2 linked regions of the Macaca fascicularis genome follow. The protein of the gene in region 2 interacts with the protein of the main gene of each other region in a pairwise test. Links are inferred from orthologs where the notes say so. Each region holds a gene or a part of one and is shown on either strand. Other genes may lie near its edges.

Region 1 (10,545 bases), on a different chromosome or scaffold from region 2:
GGCTGGGGAAAGATGGGCACTTGCTGCCTTCGGGGAAGGCGGGGACCCCGGTATCCTGGGAGCTCCAGCTCCACGGCTGTGTCCAGCAGGGAGAGGTAGCGACGCACAATCAGAGCATGAGGGGTGCCTGTGGGGAGGCGGGGACTGGGGCTCCGGGCTGCAGGCCACCCTGTTCCCCTGCCTCTCCAGCCCTCAGGGGCCCAGCCGGCCATCCTGGCTGCGTACCACTGATGTAGTTGATGAAGCCAGGGGAAAAAACAAAGTGCAGGGCTCTGAAGGGCAGGCACCGCAGTTGGCACAGTGACATCAAGATGTTGACTGTAGCCAGGGGTGCCACCCCTGCTTCCCGAGCCAGGATCCTCTCAAGGCAGGGCATAAACTGCTGTTCCAGGGGCAGGTAGTTCAGCCGCCCAAAGGGCAGAACCAACTTCTGTACCACCTGTGAAGGAAGAGCAGTTCATTACCCAGTGTGAAGTATTGCTGCAGTCATTTTTTACAAGCTAAGCCTTAGAGAGGCTTAGCCCTCAAGTTTGTAACACTGCTGTAAAGACAGGACAGTCCCTACAGCCTCACAGTTCAACAGCAAAGCAGTCACAAGCTGCACGTGACTAATCACCAGACAGGCAGAGGGGACATCACTGTGGGGTTTGGCCCTGAAGACTTCAAGGAGAGGGATGGGTGGAGCTAGGATGGTGCTAAGAGTGCTTTGGGAAACTGCAGAGTTCCAGGAATGCATGCTGGTGACAGGAGGTGGGCAAGTCACAGAGAGGGTGTAGGAAAAGATGCAGGTCCCAGGGGACAGAGAGGGTGTGTCTGCTTCAGGAAAAGGATAGCTGAGCTGCACAGGGTGCTGGGCCTGACGAGGTCCCTGAGAATGACTGAGAGATGCACTGGAGGGTAGGTGGTAAGCCCACCTTGCTGCTGAGCTGGGTTTCCTGAACCACCAGGAAGTGGGCAATGGCTTCCAGAAGCTGGGGCTCCCGTAACCGGTGCCGGGCCAGGTGCTGGGCCAGGAGCACCATCACATGGGGAGTCAGTTCCTCTGGCCTTGCCTCTGTGAAGAACAGCCTGTCATGCTGGGCCTCGGCTGGACCTCCAGCTGGCTCAATTCCACCTCAGCCCAGCCAACTGAGACCACCTTCCTCCTCCTGTCAACCCTCCCAACCCCGTCTGACTTTAACCCCCTCCAGCACCTGCCAGGCTGCTGATCAGATGCTGCCGTGGATACCGCAGAAAACGGGGACAGCTTAGAGCAGCTTCCAACCCTTGCCCACCTCGGAGAAGGGGCTGCAAAGGGGGAGGTGGCTTCGGAGGGAGGCGGAGCCTTCGCTCCTGTTCCAGGGCACACACCAGGGGACCATCAGACGGAAAGCCTGAGGGGGAGAGGTAAAAGGCAGCCTGGTAACAGAGCTGTGCTGCTGCTCCAATCATGGGGTTACTTGAATTCCCCACCTTTCACCTCTCTGTTTCCTGAGCAAGGTGTGCTAGAGTTTAAGTGCAAACACTAAAGAAATGTAAAGTATCACGTGGCTATGAGGTATCAAAATGGTCTGTGGGGAGTACATACAAAGATGGCAAATAGGCTTTCATCTTGTACCAATTGTGACAAATTATGGTGGCTTCCTAGGGCACTCTATTAGCAGGAATCTGAGGTGGCACCCTAGCGAGGCTGGAAGGAGTGCGTTTTTCTCATGATGTCTGCTGCAGACATAGGACGGGAGCAGGAGCAACCATTCCTGGGCAAACACCTGAGAGGCTGGGTCTCCGTCCGTTGTCCTCTACTGTTCTCCCTATTCTTCATTAACACCCAGCCCCCCAGGCGCCCACCTCAAGCCCCTCCTCACCAAGTAAGACTGCAAGGTGCAGACACACGTGGATGGTGTGAATGTCAAAGGAGGGGCAGTTTCGGATGATGAGCTGACTCAAGTCCTGCAGTGTGGCCTGCTCCACAGGAGGGGGCCGTGGCCGAGACCCCAAGAGCTGGCCCAGACGACGAAGCGCCACCGAGTAGTGGTGGACGCGCACTTTGGTGGGGTTCTGGCCCAGCCAGCGCAGCAGCTCCCCAGGGCTCTTTGCCTGTTCCAGAAGCCGCTGCAGTCCTTGCACAGGACCCGCACTGGGGCCTCCTCCAAGAGGCCGGTCCGCCCATTTGCTGAGCCCCAAACAGCAGGGCTGTACTGGAGGGATCAGCAGCAGGCCAGACAGCCGAGCAGGGGAGGTCTGAGCAGAGAGCAGGATTCGAAGCATGGAGTTGGGTGATGGAGACCCTGAGGGGCAGCCCAAAAAAGGGGGTGAGGTTTTCTCCAAAGGGGAGAAAGACCTGCTACCTACTCCTTACCTCACTCCTCATTTAGGGGGCCTGTGGTCAGAGCAACCCTTTGTGACTGCTCTGGGCCTCTTCCCCACCCCGCCCCTCTGCCTCCTTCCACGCCTTTGAAACAGCAATCATAATCCTCAGTGCGCTCAGGGCACTACTTGCAAAGCAATTCCACATGCACCATCTCTGATGCTCCTTACACGCCCGTGAAGAGTAGGCAGGGCTGGCATTACCTCATTTCACCGGTGGAGAAACGCAGGCCCAGAGCAGCTAAGGGGTTAAGTTAAGCCTGAGGTCATTAACCGGGTTAGTGGTCGCGCCCAGTCTGGAGCCCAGGCGGCACCGGCGTGCACTCTCCCGACCACCTCCCTCTCCCGCAGGAGGCGGCGGCGGCACAGAGGGTGGAACGCGGGCTCCGCGGCTGGACGGCGCTGGGTTCCATGCTGGGCGCTCCCACTCACCAGCGGCGTGACCTTGGACAAGTGGCTTCGTCTAAGTCTCCTCACCCGTGAAATGAAATCGCAACGCCCACCTCGCAGGGCGCGCGTGGAGCCCGAGTGCACCGCTTTGCGATGGCGTGGGGTCGGCGAAGTCGGGGGCCCCCACACCCACCCCGACCCAGGGACGCCAGGAGACCGTGGCCGCTGCCGCTAACACCAGCTCCCGCTGCCCTCCCACAGCCCTCCCCGCAGGCGCCACCCCTACATGACTCCCCGGGCCCTGCGCAGGTCGCTCCCTCAGTCGGTCTCGGGGCCCGGGGGCCGGGTTCCCCCCGCGGCCTCCTCATCGGCTGGCCACCGAGTCCGCCATCTTCCCAGCAGCCCCCAGATAGCCGCCCGGACACCAATCCCGAAACAGCTATCGACCAGCGGAGACGTGGCTCCCGGCAGGCACTGCGAGCCAGGGAGCCGTGAGCTCCGCCCGCGGGAAGTGCGCGCGCGGCACCGGGGGCGGGGCCACGGAGGCCGGCGCCAAAGCCAGAGCAGAAGGCAGGGGAGAAGGGAAAGCGGTGGGCCAGAGCCGAGGGCGCCGTCCGTGCCCTTCTCTCCCAAGGGGCGAGGAGTCCCCGCCCGCCATCCCGCACACACTCAGACACACTGCAAGAGTGAAAACTTCACAGTTACTTTAATCTGCACAAGTTCCGGGGAACTCCTATGCCCCTCCCCTTCACCTGCCTCCCACCGTCCTGGCGTCCCCAACTCAGGCCAAGGAGCTGTCAGGGATTGGAGGCGGCTGGGTCCTCCGGCAGAACGCTAAGACGGGCCCCGGGGGCGGCCGGGCTCTGCCCGGGGCCGAGGCAGCGACAGCAGATGCCCGACCCCGAGGAGCCCACTCCCAGTGCGGACTGAGGGCCAGCAGCCCCGGGAGGTGGCCCCGAGCCCCGGTGGTCGCAGGGCGGGGCCTCTGCCAGCCCCTGGAGTCTTCTGCGGCGCAGGGCTGGGCTCCAGGGCAGCGGGAAGAGGCAGGCCGGAGAGACGGGCCTGGGCAGGCAGCAGCTCCCGCTGCGGCGCGGGGAGCAAGGTCCAGAGGGGCCGGCGACGCTGCCAAACGCCCGCGGAGGCACTACGGGCGGTACATGGCGAAGGCCAGGAGACTGAGGAGCAGGGTGAAGCCGGCCAGGCCCAGAGTGGCGGTCAGGGGAAAGAAGGGCCGGTACTGGATCTGGCAGTACCAGAGCAGCAGCAGCAGCAGGAGCAGCAGGGGCAGCAGCAGGCTGCCGATTTCCAGCCCGGAGGGGCCGGGCTCGGACCCCGGCGGGCAGGGGGGATTTGGGGGGCCGACCCTCGTGGACACGTGGCAGTGGAGAACGCAGTTGGGAGGGAGGTGAAGGCTGCCCAGGGTCTGGGTGTCGTCGCCTAGCAGCTGCCCTTGGTAGATGAGTCGCACCTGCTGTTCCCGGCCAGGAAACTGGGTCCTGAGGAGAGAGGGACCTGGGTAAGAGAGCAGGCCTCAGGCAATCCTAGTCCCTGGCCCCGGAACAACACTCCCACCCTTCCCCTGCCCTCCACAACACACCGGCCCTGGCCTGGGAGGGGCAGACTGCCAAGGGAACAAGTGCAGTTGTGATCTGGGGCGCTCAGCGCCTCCAGTATAAAGGAGGGCTGGGTCTTAGGTCTCTCCTGGGGCCTTCTGTGACCACTCCCCCCACCCCTGTCTTCAGCATTGCTCCTGCCTCTTGACCTACGTACCTTTTCAAGGAGCCAATGGTGTCGTGGGGCCAGGCCCTGGCCACCTGCTCTGAATCATTGAGGAATTTCAGCCGTAGCACGAGGGGCTCCTGCGGGGAGTCCGGGGCTGGTGGTGTTGCTGTGACCCCCGTGCTGGGCTCTGGCTGTGCAGCTTGACCTCTGTGTCTCAGGCTGGGGGTCTCTGCCCCTGGGACCTCCGCTCTCATGGTGTCGGTAGCTGCCATGGCTGCGCTGGGCTGGGATGGCGTTGGGGTCCCTGACGGCTGGGGCAGTGGGTCCCCGCCCTCAGCGGTGTGCGTTGAGACCCAGGCGAGGGCCAGCACCAGAAGGCAGGCAAGCACCGAGAAAAGGACGGTCACCTCATCACCCACCCCTTCAATCAGGGTCATGGCGCCTGCCTTGCCCGCCGCGCTACCGAGCTGGAGAGGCACAAAGAGCCCGTGAGGCGCGGGCCCTCTGACCAGGAGCCCTGGAACCTCCACAGGGTCCTGCCCCCACCCCACCGCGACGCTCCCACCGTCCTCAGCCTGGGTTCCCTCACCCACCCCAGGGTACGGGCTGCTTTGCCTCCCAGTCGCCCCAAACTTGCCTCCGGGTGCCCCTTCCCATCGCCGAATCCCAAGTCCTAACTTTCTGTCATCTGAGCTCGAGGTCTTCAACCAGCTCCCAACTCACCCAAACCCTATCCCAAGGTAAGGGCCTAAGCAACGCCTCCCCTAAACTTCACCCCAGCCAAACTTCACGCCCATGCGTATCTATTCTCCTGCCCACTTCACCCCAGTGTGTCTACTCCTTCACCGACTTCACCCCATGCTCATCTACTCCGTTGCTAAAGTTTCTCCGAGGTGGGGGTAGAGCCTCTGTGCCCCCACCCCCCGCCCCCCGCATTACGGTTCACCTAAACCCCACCCGCGGCACAGGACTGCTTCCCAGGCTTCCCCCACAGCAAACGTCAAACTCCGCCCCTGGGCAATCTGGAGCCTCCGAGCGTCACCACCCACCCAGCTCGGTCCCCTCAACCCCACTCCGCGGAGGCCCAACTCCACGCCTTCTCTGGAAGTGTCTCCAAGCCCCGCGGGCTGCCAGACCCCAGATCCCGCCCGGAATCCGAGACTTCACGTTCCCTACCCCCACCCCTCATCACCCCTCCCACCTTCCCGCCCCCCGGAGCCGCAGGAGGGCACGGCGATCCAGGGCAGGGCGGGCGGGGCCCGGCCGGGGCCCTGGGCGGCGGGGTGGGCGCGGTCATGGCGCGGGGACTCACCGCCCGGCTGCCCCAGCTCCATCGCGGCCCCTCGGACACTTCCGGGCGGGAGGCGCGGAGGTCGCAGGCACCTGAAGCACCCCTCCTTCCTCGCCGCCGCGGCCCGGGGCATTGTGGGACTTGTAGTCCGGCGCCGCTCTGTCTCCGCCCTCCGCCCTGCGGACCCACGTGCTGGGCTCCACCCGCGGTTCTCTGCTCCAGCAGATCGCGGAGGGGTCGGTGGGGACGGCTTTGGGGGGTTGCGCTACCGGCTAGAGGTTTGGGCGGCAGCAGGGTCCGCCCCCTCCCCCGCCAACAGCCAGAGCATCTGTCACACCAGACACCGACGTCAGCTGAAGCACGTCAGAACACCCGTGTTCGTGATGCAGTGAGGAAGGCTCTGAGGAACTCAGGTGGCCCCTACCCTTATGTCAGAGTGGACGCCAGAAGGCACTTTGGCCACCAAAATTAATTCTTCAGCCCAGAGCCCAATATCCATGGGCTGTCCCACTAGGCTGGCCAGGGATACCCATCCTCAGGGCTGCCCCTTTCCTTGGTCCCCTCCTCCACCTTGCTCTTTCAGGACTGTGGAAGAAGCATAGACCTTGGAACCTGGCACAAATCCTGATCCCTTATCCTGTGCTTCTCAGCTATATGACCTTGGGTGGGTTATTGAATCTCTCTAAAGATTAATTTCTTCCTTTCTGAAACATACGTCGTAAGTCAATCATAAGGAAGAAATTAGATGTTTTATTTAAAAGTGTGAAAACTAAGGTACATGTCACACAGTAGCTATTTGCTCACCTCCGCTCAAAGCTGGTCTCTGGAATCGGATCCTGGTGTGTTACTGTGTGGATGACATTGAATCCCAGGCCTGTGGATATCTGTGGATTTTTCCCTCTGGGCTCCTGTAGCCACAGAGATCTCACATCCTGGTTTTTACAGGCCAGTCTTGATTTAAAATAATCTATCCTAGTTTTCCCATAGTTCTTGCCTACTGTGGGAGCAAGTGGCCCAAATATTGCCTTAGGAATGTCAGTCTAGATTGATACCATACAGAACTAACCTATCTAGTTCCATCCCTCCTGTTCATTCATTTATTCTACTAACATATTTTTAAAAGATATACTATGGCCAGGCGCGGTGGCTTATGTCTGTAATCCTGGCACTTTGGGAGACCGAGGTAGGTGGATCACTGAGGTCAGGAGTTCGAGACCAGCCTGGCCAACATGGTAAAAGCCCATCTCTACTAAAAAAAAAAAAATACAAAAATTAGTTGGATGTGGTGGAGGGTGCCTGTAATTCCAGCTACTCAGGAGGCTGAGGCAGGAGAATCACTTGAACGTGGGAGGTGGAGGTTGCAGTGAGCTGAGATCGAGCCACTGCACTCCAACCTGGGCAACAGAGTGAGACTCTGTCTTGAAATATATATATGCATATATATATATATATATATATATATATATATATATGCACACACACTATTTGCCAGGCATTGTGCAAGATACTGGGAATAAAATGGTGAATCAGACCATCTTCCTGCCCTCATGTGGCTCCATATACTAGTAGAGGAGCTAGTCGTGTGAACAGCCCATCAGAGCTATAACAGGTGTGTGCTAGTTGCTGGGGCAACACATTTGAGGAGCTCTTTGCTCTTAGTATCTCTTTTGGGAGGTATACCTGGTGCTACTTCCTGCTGTCAATTCTAATTAAGCATCTAAAAGAGATGTTGGATGTTACTTTTAGAATTATACATCAGAACTAGGTTTTCTGTTCAACCACTATATTTTGCAGATGAAACCCAGAGAGGGCACAAGATATCCTTAAGGTTATGCAGGGAGATAGAAACACAGACACAGATTCCTCAGGAGCTTAGGAGACCCTATGTGTTGATTAGCTTGCACCAGGTGCTTTGGAAGGTACAAGGAACTCAGGAATAGTGACTGGGTTGGTACTGGGGCTGAGTTGTGTGGGTAATCAAATGGTGGACAGCTTCATGCTGGGAAAAGATCCAGCTTGGCCGGGGAAGTGGAAGTGTGTGTAAAAAGGACGATGTGTGTCAGTGATGCCCGAGGATATCTGGGGGTAGCAGATACCCTGCAACATCTCTGGGAGATTTATTGGCTGGGGCCACTGCTCTGCAAATGTCACCTCTTGTAGGTTTTAGGAAACCTGTGTGTGTGTGTGTGTGTGAGTGTGTGTGTCTTGGGGTGGGTGGGGGGGGGGCGGCTAACAACTGCAGCCCACTTTGGCAATGGCACTGCAGAGGACATTGCAGGGAGCTACCTGACCCTAGAGGGAGTGAAAGGACAGGATGGACAAGGGGTGAGGACAAGAAAAATTGAGAGCCACGTGGGCTTTGGTTGGTCTCTCCAATGGGATGAGTAGGGGAGAAAGGCATATATTTCATCCCTCCCTCTTCTTCCTCTGTGTACCAATGGGGTCGGGTAGCATTTAGCTAATCTCCCAAGTCCAGCAGGGGGACGGTCTTTTAGGAGAGGCCGATCACGAGAAGGTAAGAGTAGAGACGAGTTTGTTCAAAGTGTCATTTCCAGGGGCGTGCCGATGATGAAGCGCTCAGGGAGAACTGGAAATAGCAGCCCAGAACCCATCCCAGCCTCTTGAGCTGCAGCCGGCAGTGGAGAGACTGGGCAGGGAGCCAGGGAGAAAACTCTGGCAGCCGGGTGGTCTCTAGGGCTGACCTCGGAGCCTGGGGACAGGGGAGCCTATGCCGCACTGAAGGCGGGACGCTGTAAGCGAGGAGCGGCTGGGCCTGGGCGGGCTCCTCGACCAATCAGCCTCGGTCAGCAGCACCCTCAGGCGCAGGGCACTGTTTGGGCATTGCCTAGAGATCGGACACCCGGCCCAGATCAGCGCAGGGAGGCGAAAGCGACAGCCGGGCGCGGGAGGAGACCAGGGCAGCTGTCCCCTCGGAGAGGGTGGCCCTCGAGGCAATGCGGGTGGGGGCTGGTGAGGAGGCGGAAGGGCCGAAGCTGAGTGGGAGGGGCCCGGGCGCCTGGGCTGGAGCGCGCGGCTCGGGGGTGGAGGCTGAAGAGTCAGCTAGCGAGCGAGGGGCGGGGGCGCCCGGGCCGGCGCGCAGGAGGGGCGGGGGCGGCGGGGAGGGGGGCTCGGGCTGCGTGTGCCGGAGCCGGCGGGGGCGGCGGTGCGTGCGCATGACGCGGGGGGAGGGCCCGGGCCGCGCGCTCCCGGTCCCGTTGTTGTTGCCGCTGGAGGCTGCTCCGAGGCAGCGGGATCACGGCGCCGGGAAGCGCTCGGCAGCGGCGGCCACAGCGTGCGCGGCGGCGCCTCCTGGCCTCGGCCTCCGGCCCCCGGCCCCCGGCTCCATGCGCTAGCCCCGCGCCACCAGCCCAGTAATCCCGGCCCCGCCAGCCCCGCGCGCCCGCTCGCCGCCGCCGCCTCCGCCGCGCCGCCCCGGGCCCGCCTCAGGCCCCACGGCTCCGAAGCCATGAACTTCCAGGCGGGCGGGGGGCAGAGCCCGCAGCAGCAGCAGAGCCTGGCGGCTCCGGGGGGCGGCGGCGGCGGCGGCGGCGGCAGCGCGGGGGGCGGCGGGCAGTTCGGCGGCGCGGGGCCCGGGGCCGGGGGCGGCGGCGTCCCCTCGCAGCAGCTGGCCGGCGGGCCCCCCCAGCAGTTCGCGCTCTCCAACTCCGCGGCCATCCGGGCCGAGATCCAGCGCTTCGAGTCCGTGCATCCCAATATCTACGCCATCTACGACCTGATCGAGCGCATCGAGGATTTGGCGCTGCAGAACCAGATCCGCGAGCACGTCATCTCCATCGAGGGTGAGCGAAGCCGGGGGCTGCGGGAGCAGGGGCGCGGTGGCCTCTCCGGCTCCGGTCGAGGGCTCCACGGGCCGGTCCTGGCCATGCTCTCCCTGTCGGGGGTCCTTGCGCGCTTGAGGTCCAGGCCACGAGGTTTGCCGATCTGTGCTGCAGAACCGGCGGGCAGCTTCGCCATATCTCGTTCGGGGACACTTTGGGGTTGGGGGTTTTCTGCTCACTGTGCTCCAGGGCGCGAAGGTGGTGTCGCTTCGGGGGGCCAGGACCAGATCTATCCAGGCCTGGCCGGGGAAGGTGGGCGCGGCAGAGGGCTTCAGCTGCCGGGAGGTGGGGCCGTGACCGGGGAGGCATCTTAGCCGCTGCCCGGGCCCTGCTCCGCAGTGGGGCGGGGGATCGGAGCCTCGCGTTAGTGGATGGCAGCCTTCCCTGGCCCAGCGCCCGCAGGCCCGGAGGGTGGCGCTCGCCGCGGCGCCCTCTCCCGACGCACACCCCCTACGCCGCGGCGGCCAAGCGGGCGCGGGCCGGGCCTGGCGCTGGGCTGCGGCGCCGCGACCGCGTGGGAGGCGCCGGCAGGTCCATCCGCGCCTTGGCCGGGTCGTGAGCGCGCCAGGGACCCGCGGCTCCTCGGTCTGGAGGCAGCCGCGGGGCAGCCGGGCGCTGACTGACCTCCAGGGACACCGCACCCGGAGTCGGGGACTGGAAATCCCCGGCCACTGCGCTGCCTAGCGCTTTTTTCTCTGGGCCCTTAGGCCCTGGACTTTCGACCATTGAGGGCACAGGAAGTAGGGGCACGCTGCTGGTAGATGGCTCGCAAGCCCTGGTGTGGTGGGTGCTGGCGGCACCCGCAATCAGGCCAGTGGCATGGTGACCTTCGAGCGGGCACGGACAGATGGGCCTCGCCCTGGGCCATCTGCTTCCTCCCCCAGCTCTGTTTGAAAGGGGACGCCCACCGGCAGGTGGTGGGTTTGGCCTCCGTGGAAATGCAGCGAGAGCCAAGGC
Region 2 (10,086 bases):
TCCCTGGAAACCGCGGCGCTGCTTTGGGAGGAGGCTCAATACGTCAGTCTCCCTTGAGCTCCTCCTCGCCCTTCTCCAACCGGCCTCCCCTGCCGCCTACGCCCAGCAGGGCCTTGGATGACAAACCCCCTCCACCACCTCCTCCAGTAGGCAACAGGCCCTCCATCCACAGGGAAGCGGTTCCCCCTCCTCCTCCTCAGAACAACAAGCCTCCAGTGCCTTCCACTCCGCGGCCTTCCTCCTCCTCACAGCCCCCACCTCCGCCGCCACCTCCCAGCAGGCCCGGGCCGCCTCCCCTGCCTCCAAGTTCCAGCGGCAATGACGAAACCCCAAGACTCCCACAGCGGAATCTGTCCCTCACTTCGTCCACGCCCCCCTTACCTTCGCCAGGACGTTCAGGTCCTCTTCCTCCCCCGCCCAGCGAGAGACCCCCACCTCCAGTGAGGGACCCGCCAGGCCGATCAGGTATGACAAGATGTGGGGTGAGTCGCTTCCAAAACCCAGCCTGCCCAAATGTACCAATAATGCTGTCAGTCAAGATAGTCTTAACAAGAACAGGCATAAGTAAACTCTAAGACTGCTTTGTGCTTTTAAGTGGCACGCGACACATGTGATCGTGACCTCGTGTAAATCCCTGAGGAAAGTGGGACCAATATTTCTGTTGGTGTTTTAGCGATGAGGACACTGAGTAGCCAATGAAGTTAAATGGTCACGAGCTAGTTAATAAAGAAGAGGTAAGAACTTTCGTCTTCCATCTGTAAAGTGTACTTGCCAGCCCACTACCCTGCCTCCCTAGAGAGAATTCCAGTGGTCTTACTTGGGAAAATAAGTCCCCACCTCCTGCAGGAGGGCTCCATTACTCCAACAACAGGGGAAGATTTTCAAGAGCTAATGAACTTCTGTACTTCTCTATTCATTAGCCAGGCTTTGAGGCCATTTCCCTGTTCATTAAAGACAAATGTTTAAAAAGTCCATTTTGCTCTTTGTTAACATCTCTGGTACATAAATCCCTTGGAGAATCAAAGGTATAGACTATCTTTACAAAAATACTCAGGCATAAACTCAAAATCTGCATGCTGTCACATGGCTTGAAGAGCCTGCTGAAGCCCATCTGAGACCTTTCCAATGCGGTTGGAAAGGTTGAGAAACCTTGATCTGAGGGACAAACTTTCAGAGTATGAAAGAAAACGCAAGGATTGCCTAGAGTTTGCCCTCTCCGAATTATAATAGGCATTTTTAGTAGAGTACACTCACTTGATGCGTTTTACAGTGGTTATGGATGAACTCGGTAGAACCACCCACTTTTCAAATTTAATCTCATCATACAGACCTTATGTCTGGAAATGGGGCATTTTTTTCCTTTACGCAGAGATAAGAGACCTTTGACCCTGTGACCTCAGGAACCTCATAATCACCATTCTTTAAACTTGCTCACATACTGGAATCATCTACGGAGCTTTAAAAACCACGAATGCCTGGGTCCCTTCCCAGAGTCTCTGGTATAATTGGTCTGGGGTGCAGACTGGGAATCGGGATATTTAAAAGCTCCCTGGTGATTATAGTGTGCAGCAGAATGTGAGAACCACACCTTGAAACCATTGTGCCGTGGCCCTACCAAATGGATGAGTCAGCAGATTAAATCTTCCCCAAAATATGACAAGCATTGACATACAACATTTATTGTTTCTTTTGATTACGTAAGTCATACTTGTTTATTATCGAAATACTGAAAAATATAAAGAAAATTAAAATTATCTGTAATCCTTCTACCACCACCATCCAGAAATAGTCATTGATAACATTTTTTTATTGTGTCCTTTCAGTCTTTTTAAAATGCATATGTTTTTACAAACTTGGTATCACACTACATATATTGTTTGCTAATTTGCTTTTTATTTACTAGTATCTCATTAATGTTTAGTGATACGATTATTCTTCTACAGCCTGACTTTTAACAGCTACCTAATATTAAATCCTACAGATGTACCTTGATTTATTTAACCAATCCCCTCACCTGGTCATATGGGCCATCTCTAGATTTTTCCTGGTGCAGATAATGCAGTGATACATTTTTGTAGCAAAATATGTGTACACATCTCTGTATTTCCTTTGGATGAATTCCTATAAGTGGAATATCTAGGTTAGTGAGTGTGCATAGTAAACTACGGATTTCATAGGTACTGGCAAATTGCCTTCCAGAAATTTCCTACCAATTTACATTCCCACAAGGAGCATATGAGAGTTCATCAAAGGCCCTGTGTATTCTGAGTCATTTGGCTTCAGTGTTACGGGAGTGGGCCTTGGAATCTGACAGATTTGGAGTCAGATCCTGGCTCCTCCACTCAGTCTTCTGATGAGCTTTTTAAGCTTCCAAAACCTCTGAGGCCTTGTCTCCTGTCCCTGTACCTCTCAGAGTTGTAAGAATTAAACGAGACAAGCATGGATAGTGGTTATCTTATTTCCTGGCATGTAGTTATATTCAATAAATGATCATTTCTGTTATTCTGCCAGTGGGAAATAGAAATCTGTTTTCTTTTCTATTGTGCCTGTCAGGATTTGGAGCAGGGAGCCATGAGGTTGGAGAGTTAGGAACATGAACAGGACCATTTACTTTAAAAAGAAAAAGAGATGAAGTTATATAGTACAGGGCCCCATAATATTGAAAGTCGAGTTTGCATGTAGTGACAGTTGTGTGGTGGTATCACCAATGAAGTCAAACCCACAGCAAATGAGACATTTTTCCTCAATAAATCAACTCTTGCTGCCTGGGACTCCAGCAATGACAAGCAGATAGGGTAATAAATAACCACTCCCAGGTGAGGCACTGAAGACTCCTTGAGAGACCAATCAGGGCTGGACAGTGCCTCCCACCGCCATAAAATGTTGGAGCCAAGACTTTCTGTCAGGGATATCTGCAGTGGGCAGGTTGTTCAGGTTAAGGTTCCTAATTGGATTCTGAATCTATAGCTAATAAGATATTTATTTATAGCACCGTCAGATATTGTATTCACATAAAATGTCAGCATCTTACAAGTGGAACCCACTGCTGAAGATCAGGAATAATTACTAAGGCCATTTTGATTTACATTGGAAAATGCTCAAGTTTTTAGTTTTGTTTTTTTAGTTTACTTACTACTCAAATAGCCCCTGCATTTGGAGGATAGGAAAAGCAAGGTTTTCTTTTGTATTATCAAAAATAATTTACTTTGAATTTTTCTTTAGAAACTTAAAAACTTATGGTTATACCATACTGCTACATTTTTTAAAAATGGTTTCAAGTACTTACATAGTATTTTTTATTTGCATTTTCACTAGTTTTTCCTGGCAGCAGTGCTGTGAGACAGGTGACCATGTGGCACTCTTTTACAACTAGGAAACCAAGTTCCATAGGGTACCAGCTTGCTCAAGGTCAAGATTCACATTAGCATTTATAGCCATGGATGTTGATTAGCTGTTTGTCACTCCCTGTGTTCATCTGCCTCCCCAAAGAGGAAGAACCAAGAAGAAACTCCTACTGCTCTCAAGATGACTGGTATTTGGTTTCCTGATGCCACTTCTGCCTGGAAACAGATCATATGCATCACAGAAGCGTGCTTCTGTAATTAACAACAAAACTGCATTTAAAGAACCTCATTCTTCTCAAGACCTAAAATAATTTCATAACTATCTTATTCTTTTTTAAAAAATTATTTCATCATGTCACAGTAATTAGTTCAATAGCTCTTTAAAGGATTGTAAAATTTTTTTTAATTATATGGTTGTCAGTATAAACAGATTTTCACCTGTTTTCAGTTTCACTGTGCCATCTCCAATCTCAGTGCTAATTCAAAGCCAAAACACCCATTTAGCTATCAGTATGCACTTGTTTTGCATATACATGTGTACACATGCATTTTTTGTGTTTCTGTGTTTACTCATTTCTCAGCCAAATACCCTAGAAAATCTCCACCCTAATTAAAGGGCATGTGTCCAGCAGGTCCCCATCAGCTGTACACTAATGGTGACTACGGTGATGGAATATGGATATAAGGTTCTGCACTATGTGTCTTTTTTTGCTCCAGGCCCCCTCCCACCACCTCCTCCAATAAGCAGAAACGGCAGCACGTCTCGGGCCCTGCCTGCCACCCCTCAGTTGCCGTCCAGGAGTGGAGTAGACAGTCCAAGGAGTGGACCCAGGCCTCCCCTTCCTCCTGACAGGCCCAGTGCTGGGGCACCTCCCCCACCTCCACCATCAACATCTATTAGAAATGGCTTCCAAGACTCTCCATGTGAAGGTGAGGTATGGTCCGACTCCCTGGGCTATAGGGCAGCAACTAAATGGTAAATCTGTTTGTATATGTGGTTTGCTTGTTTGCGTTTAATTTCTTGTTCCATCATTATCACACTCCATTGCACTGATCTAACTAACCATTCTAAGGCCCACAGTGATTTCAAATTAAAATTAGTAATCCCCCTTCCCCACTTCCCAAAAAGGCAGATCATTTTTCCCTGATCTGTTCTTTGTTTGGGTCTCATTTTAGTTAACTTTCCAGAGATTCCAGGATTCTGAAAAGAATCTTTTAATAGCTTCTTCTTATGTACATTTCTAAACAGTTCACTGTAGGTAAGAGGCCCGATGGCCTGCACATGTTGAACTGCCTATCTCTGCCATTGTTATCAATGGGGAAAAAGGTGTCCTGTACCTTAGCCGCCAGCTCCTAAGAGGGACTGGCTGGATCCTAATCACTCTCATTAAAACCACTTTGCTTTGATTTGCAGGTCTGTATATACGTCAGTGTACTAATTTGTGACCTTTGCAGCACTTCCAGCTTTTCTGTAAACTTCTAGGCATAAAAACTAGCACTGATGTCTGTGGTTCTCTCTCTGTTTCATTCTGTGCCTTTCGTTACGTAAGTCTTCATAGCAGATTGTCTGTCACTGAAGATACTGCTTGTTTCTCTTCCCAGATGAGTGGGAAAGCAGATTCTACTTCCATCCAATTTCCGATTTGCCACCTCCAGAGCCATATGTACAAACGACCAAAAGTTATCCCAGCAAATTGGCAAGAAACGAAAGCCGGAGTGAGTATTTCTGCCAAGGTTTTTGAAGATTCATGCTTGAATAGCCTGAGTGACACTCGGGCTGTATAGAAAGTCCAGGCCTCTTGCCTGGAGTGGGGTAGAGAACCTTTTGGAGCCATCTACATTCTAGTAAATTCCCCTTCCACAGGCAGTGAGGAAATTGCAGATGCCCAGAATGCATATGAGAAACAGTTATTTTAATGTGTCATTACAAACTCAAAATACCGTGGTTTGCTAGTATTAAATTTTATTATTTTGCTTCTTTGGACGATCGTCCTCCGTTTTCATCTTCCTGAGACAGTACAAGTAGAGCCATCTTCTATTCCTTCTAGTTTGAAATTGGCATAATGTCTGATTAATTATAACAAAAACTCCCTGTAACTGCCTTGATCTTTCAAACATATGATAATCATAGCTTTACAGAGCATTACATGAAAATGTAAATATATCCAAAATCTCTCTACATAATAGATATTTTCATTTTACCAGATTCTCATCCAATTTTTTATCCATATAATTCTGATTTTTTATGTAGTTATAATGACAGTGTATAGTTTTGTGGCGGGGTTTACATAACATTGCTTAGTAAATAGTGCCCATGTTATCACATGGTTTTTATTTCAGCATATAGTAATTTACCATTACCATGGACATTTAAATTATTTCTGTTGTTCTGGTAATGTAGGTCATGCTACCATAAGGAAGTAAATTGCTTTTCCTCCATTGAAAAAGGGTGTCAACAAGAAGGGAAAATAGACAAACTGGAATTTTATAACATTAAATGTATAGGAAGTATTACAGCTCTTTCAGAATTTGTCTAGCAGGCTTTTCAGGGTTTTGCTGGAAAGCCTCTTAAATTTACTTTTAAAAAAACACAATAGCCAGGCACGGTGGCTCACGCTTGTAATACCAGCACTTTGGGAGGCTGAGGCAGGCAGATCATGAGGTCAGGAGTTCGAGACCAGCCTGACCAACATGGCGAAACCCCATCTCTACTAAAAATACAAAAATTAGCCGGGCATGGTGGCGTGCGCCTGTAATCCCAGCTACTCAGTTGCTGAGGCAGGAGAATCGCTTGAACCCGGGAGGTAGAGGTTGCAGTGAGCCGAGATCGCACCATTGCACTCCAGCCTGGGCAACAGAGCAAGACTTCGTCTCAAAAAAAAAACAACAGCAGCAACAATAAATATATACAATGAAGAATGAATTAGCATGAAATATGCGTATGTCACCCATGAGGCTGAGGTTCGTGGCAGCCTTAGCCTCAGAGCCAAATTCTCAAACCAGAAATAGAAAAAATATAACCTAATAAGTCAAATACGTCACAACACCCCTAGCCATGGCCTCACTCCCTAGCAGAGCTTCTTATACCTACTCAGAGCCTACTGATTGTTTTCTAACACCGTTTAAAGTAATTTTTGGTTGGTTGGTTCCAAACCTTATAGGAGATTAGTTAACAGCTAAAGTTAAGACTAGTGAGAAGCAAAATCACTGACATGGGAGAGAAGTGACAGATGGCAGTCCCAGGTCAGAGGAGGAGACAGGAACATGGCTGTGCTGTGTGTTACAGCGCAGGACAACACCAGATGTTTCTGTTGGGTTAAATTTCTATTGGGTTAAATGGGATTAAATTAATTGAGTTAACCTGTGCTTTGTGCCTCTGTAGAAAAATTTAAAGAGTTAGAAAATATAGGAAATTTTCCATGGACAAATGCTAGAAGAAAACAGAATACTACTGCTTAAAAGGAAAACTTTAATTCCTGGAAAAATTTGTTTATGTGGAAGACTGCATTCATAGACAATACCTAATGAAGAGGTATAGCTGTAATAAAATCATTATACAAGAGTTGATGATTGAAATTTTTAGTGAAGACCAGGCACAGTGGCTCACGCCTGTAATCCCAGCACTTTGGGAGGCCAAGATGGGCAGATCACTTGAGGTCCGGAGTTCGAGACCAGCTTGACCAACATGGAGAAAACCTGTATCTACTAAAAATACAAAATTACCTGGGCATAGCGGCACATGCCTGTAATCCTAGCTACTCAGAAGGCTGAGGCAGGAGAATTCCTTGAACCCAGGAGGCGGAGGTTGCAGTGAGCAGAATTCACACCATTGCACTCCAGCCTGGGCAAGAAGAGCGAAACTCCATCTCAAAAAAAAAAAAGAAAAGAAAAGAAAAATGTTTAGTGGAAAGTAAGTTGGCCGGGCACGGTGGCTCACGCCTGTAATCCCAGCACTTTGGAAGGCCGAGGCGGGCGGATCACAAGGTCAGGAGATCGAGACCATGGTGAAACCCCGTCTCTACTAAAAATAGAAAAAAATTAGCCGGGCGCAGTGGCGGGCGCCTGTAGTCCCAGCTACTCGGGAGGCTGAGCCAGGAGAATGGCGGGAACCCAGGAGGTGGAGCTTGCAGTGAGCCGAGATTGCGCCACTGCACTCCAGCCTGGGTGACAGAGCGAGACTCCGTCTCAAAAAAAAAAAAAGTAAGTTTTCACATGGGACAGGTATCTTTGAATGCTCTCTGTGTGTGTGTGTGTGTGTGTGTACGTGTTCACCAGAAGAAGGGCTTCTGTTTGATAAGAGTACAACCCTTCTTCCTTCTTGGGCACCAATAAACGAATTGACTTTAAGGAGTTGTTCATATAGACTCTAAATATTTTTTCTGACTTACTATTTTCCTCTTATTCTAAATATTATTTGTGTTTTTAAATTGGTAACAGACCATCTTCCCTGTACCCTCTAGATTTTTAATGTAATAGCTAAGCCTATTTCTTCTCCCATCCTCCTTTAAGACTCAAGTAGGCAGTGTAAGGACTAGAACTGTGTCCTGCTCACTGTTGCATCTTCCTTGAGGGGCACAGAGCCTGAAACATAAAGGGCATTTTCAAGCATTTCTTTTTAAAAATGTTCTTATAGAGACAGGATATCTCTGTGTCACCCAGGCTGGTCTTGAGCTTCTGGCCTCAAGTAGTCCCCTGCCTTAACCTCCCAAAGCACTGGATTATAGGCATGAGCTACCACACCTAGCCTAAAAGTAGTTTTTAAATTGGTGAATTAATTTCCGCCGTCTACCAAAATTTTTTTGTACATTTGCCTTAAATATTTCCAGCATTAGGCATGTTTAATATTTTATAATGATAATGTATCATCTAACAAAAATAAATAAGGCACTGTCGAGTACCAAGTTTTCCTCTGCTCTGCAGCAACCTCAGCCTCCCAGCCCACAGCCTGAGAGCACACCCAGACAGCCCTGAGCAGTACCGAATGCACTTGGAGTGTATTCTAATTACAGCTTTGGACTAGGCCAGCCCTCATTCTACTAACCACTTGTGGCGGGTCAGTTGATGGTCAGGGCTCCATGATAGGTGTCTGGTTTACATCCAGATGAGTCTTTTCTCAGATGCCTGCCCAAGAAAATATTTGGTTGGGATGGTAAGAGGAAGAGGCGCCTCTTTCAGTGTTTTCTCCTAACTCCTTTCCTTGCTCAGAAATTTGGTTCTTTCTCAGAAATCCCTAAGTGGACTAGTAGGGTCCCTATCAAGATCCCTACTGAGGAATCTGCCAGTTCCAGCCCACTGAGTCTCAAGAGTAGTGGTTAGAGCAGACCTACCTGATTGACACGTGCACCGGGTGGACCTGTTCACAGCATCTGAGCACCTGACCTCATGCCGAACACCTGTTAAATTCTCAACAAGGCTGGGTGCGGTGGCTCAAGCCTGTAATCCCAGCACTTTGGGAGGCCGAGACGGGTGGATAACGAGGTCAGGAGATCGAGACCATCCTGGCTAACACAATGAAACCCCCGACTCTACTAAAAAATACAAAAAAAAAACTAGCCGGGCGAGGTGGCGGGCACCTGTAGTCCCAGCTACTTGGGAGGCTGAGGCAGGAGAATGGCATGAATCCGGGAGGCGAAGCTTGCAGTGAACTGAGATCCGGCCACTGCACTCCAGCCTGGGTGACAGAGCAAGACTCCGTCTCAAAAAAAAAAAAAAAAAAAAAATTTCTCAACAAATGTTTGTGTAGTAAATGAATTTTTTTTATGTGAATGGGTTTTAAGCCTAGTTACAGTGGACTGATAGCCCATGAATAGCTTGGTTTTTGGTTTTGTTTTGTTTTTGAGACAGGGTCTCACTCTGTCACCCAGGCTGGAGTACAGCGGCACAATCTTGGCTCATTGCAGCCTTGACCTCCCAGGTTCAAGTGATCCTCCCACCACAGCCTCCTGGGTAGCTGGGACTATGGGAGAGGCACGCACCAACCTGCCTGGCTAATTTTTTGGAGACGGGGTTTTGCTATGTTGCCCAGGCTGGTCTCGAACTCCTGAGCTCAAACCATTCTCCCTCCTCAGCCTCCCAAAGTGCTGGGGATACAGGTGTGAGCCACCGCAACAGGGCCATAAATAACTTTTAAAAGAACACATTGATAGAGCACTTGAAAAGATGCTCAACATCACTGATTTTTAGGGAACTGCAAATAAAACTATAGTGAGATACAACTTTACACCCATTAGGATGGCTACTGTCAGAAAAGCTTTCTCTTTTTTTTTTTTTTTTTTTTTTTTTTGAGACAGAGTCTCGCTCTGTAGCCCGGGCTGGAGTGCAGTGGCCGGATCTCAGCTCACTGCAAGCTCCGCCTCCCAGGTTTACGCCATTCTCCTGCCTCAGCCTCCCGAGTAGCTGGGACTACAGGCGCCTGCCACCTCGCCCGGCTAGTTTTTTGTATTTTTTAGTAGAGACGGGGTTTCACGGTGTTCGCCAGGATGGTCTCGATCTCCTGACCTTGTGATCCACCCGTCTCGGCCTCCCAAAGTGCTGGGATTACAGGCTTGAGCCACCGCGCCCGGCCAAGCTTTCTCATTTTTAATTAGAAGATACCTAAATGCCCAACAAAAGGGAATTGACTAGGTAGACTGTAGTGTACTCATATTTTGGAATACAGTCTGTCATTAATAATCTTTGCAAAGAGTAATGCCTTTGAAAGATGTTCAAACTGATTACATGATCTTATTTCTGGAAGAAAACG

Evidence for each region.
Region 1: the proteins of WIPF1 (region 2) and FASTK interact in binary tests that used the Homo sapiens proteins (3 or more experiments, as listed by UniProt). The two-hybrid records come from large-scale screens. The link is inferred for Macaca fascicularis from reciprocal best matches to the Homo sapiens genes WIPF1 and FASTK.

The regions. Positions count from the first base shown.
Region 1 is NC_088377.1:192,357,949-192,368,493, forward strand, and holds the start of FASTK (fas-activated serine/threonine kinase), read right to left. Parts: upstream 3,152-10,545; 5' UTR 3,105-3,151; coding exon 3,023-3,104; exon of another isoform or gene 2,551-3,022; intron 2,268-2,550; coding exon 1,845-2,267; intron 1,374-1,844; coding exon 1,194-1,373; intron 1,055-1,193; coding exon 915-1,054; intron 440-914; coding exon 226-439; intron 128-225; coding exon 1-127. Other genes in the region: TMUB1 (transmembrane and ubiquitin-like domain-containing protein 1), read right to left, coding at 3,881-4,232, 4,507-4,925, 5,660-5,755. UniProt on the Homo sapiens protein: Phosphorylates the splicing regulator TIA1, thereby promoting the inclusion of FAS exon 6, which leads to an mRNA encoding a pro-apoptotic form of the receptor.
Region 2 is NC_088386.1:70,079,379-70,089,464, reverse strand, and holds part of WIPF1 (WAS/WASL-interacting protein family member 1), read left to right. Parts: coding exon 1-465; intron 466-4,061; coding exon 4,062-4,274; intron 4,275-4,946; coding exon 4,947-5,060; intron 5,061-5,850; exon of another isoform or gene 5,851-5,913; intron 5,914-10,086. UniProt on the Homo sapiens protein: Plays a role in the reorganization of the actin cytoskeleton. Contributes with NCK1 and GRB2 in the recruitment and activation of WASL.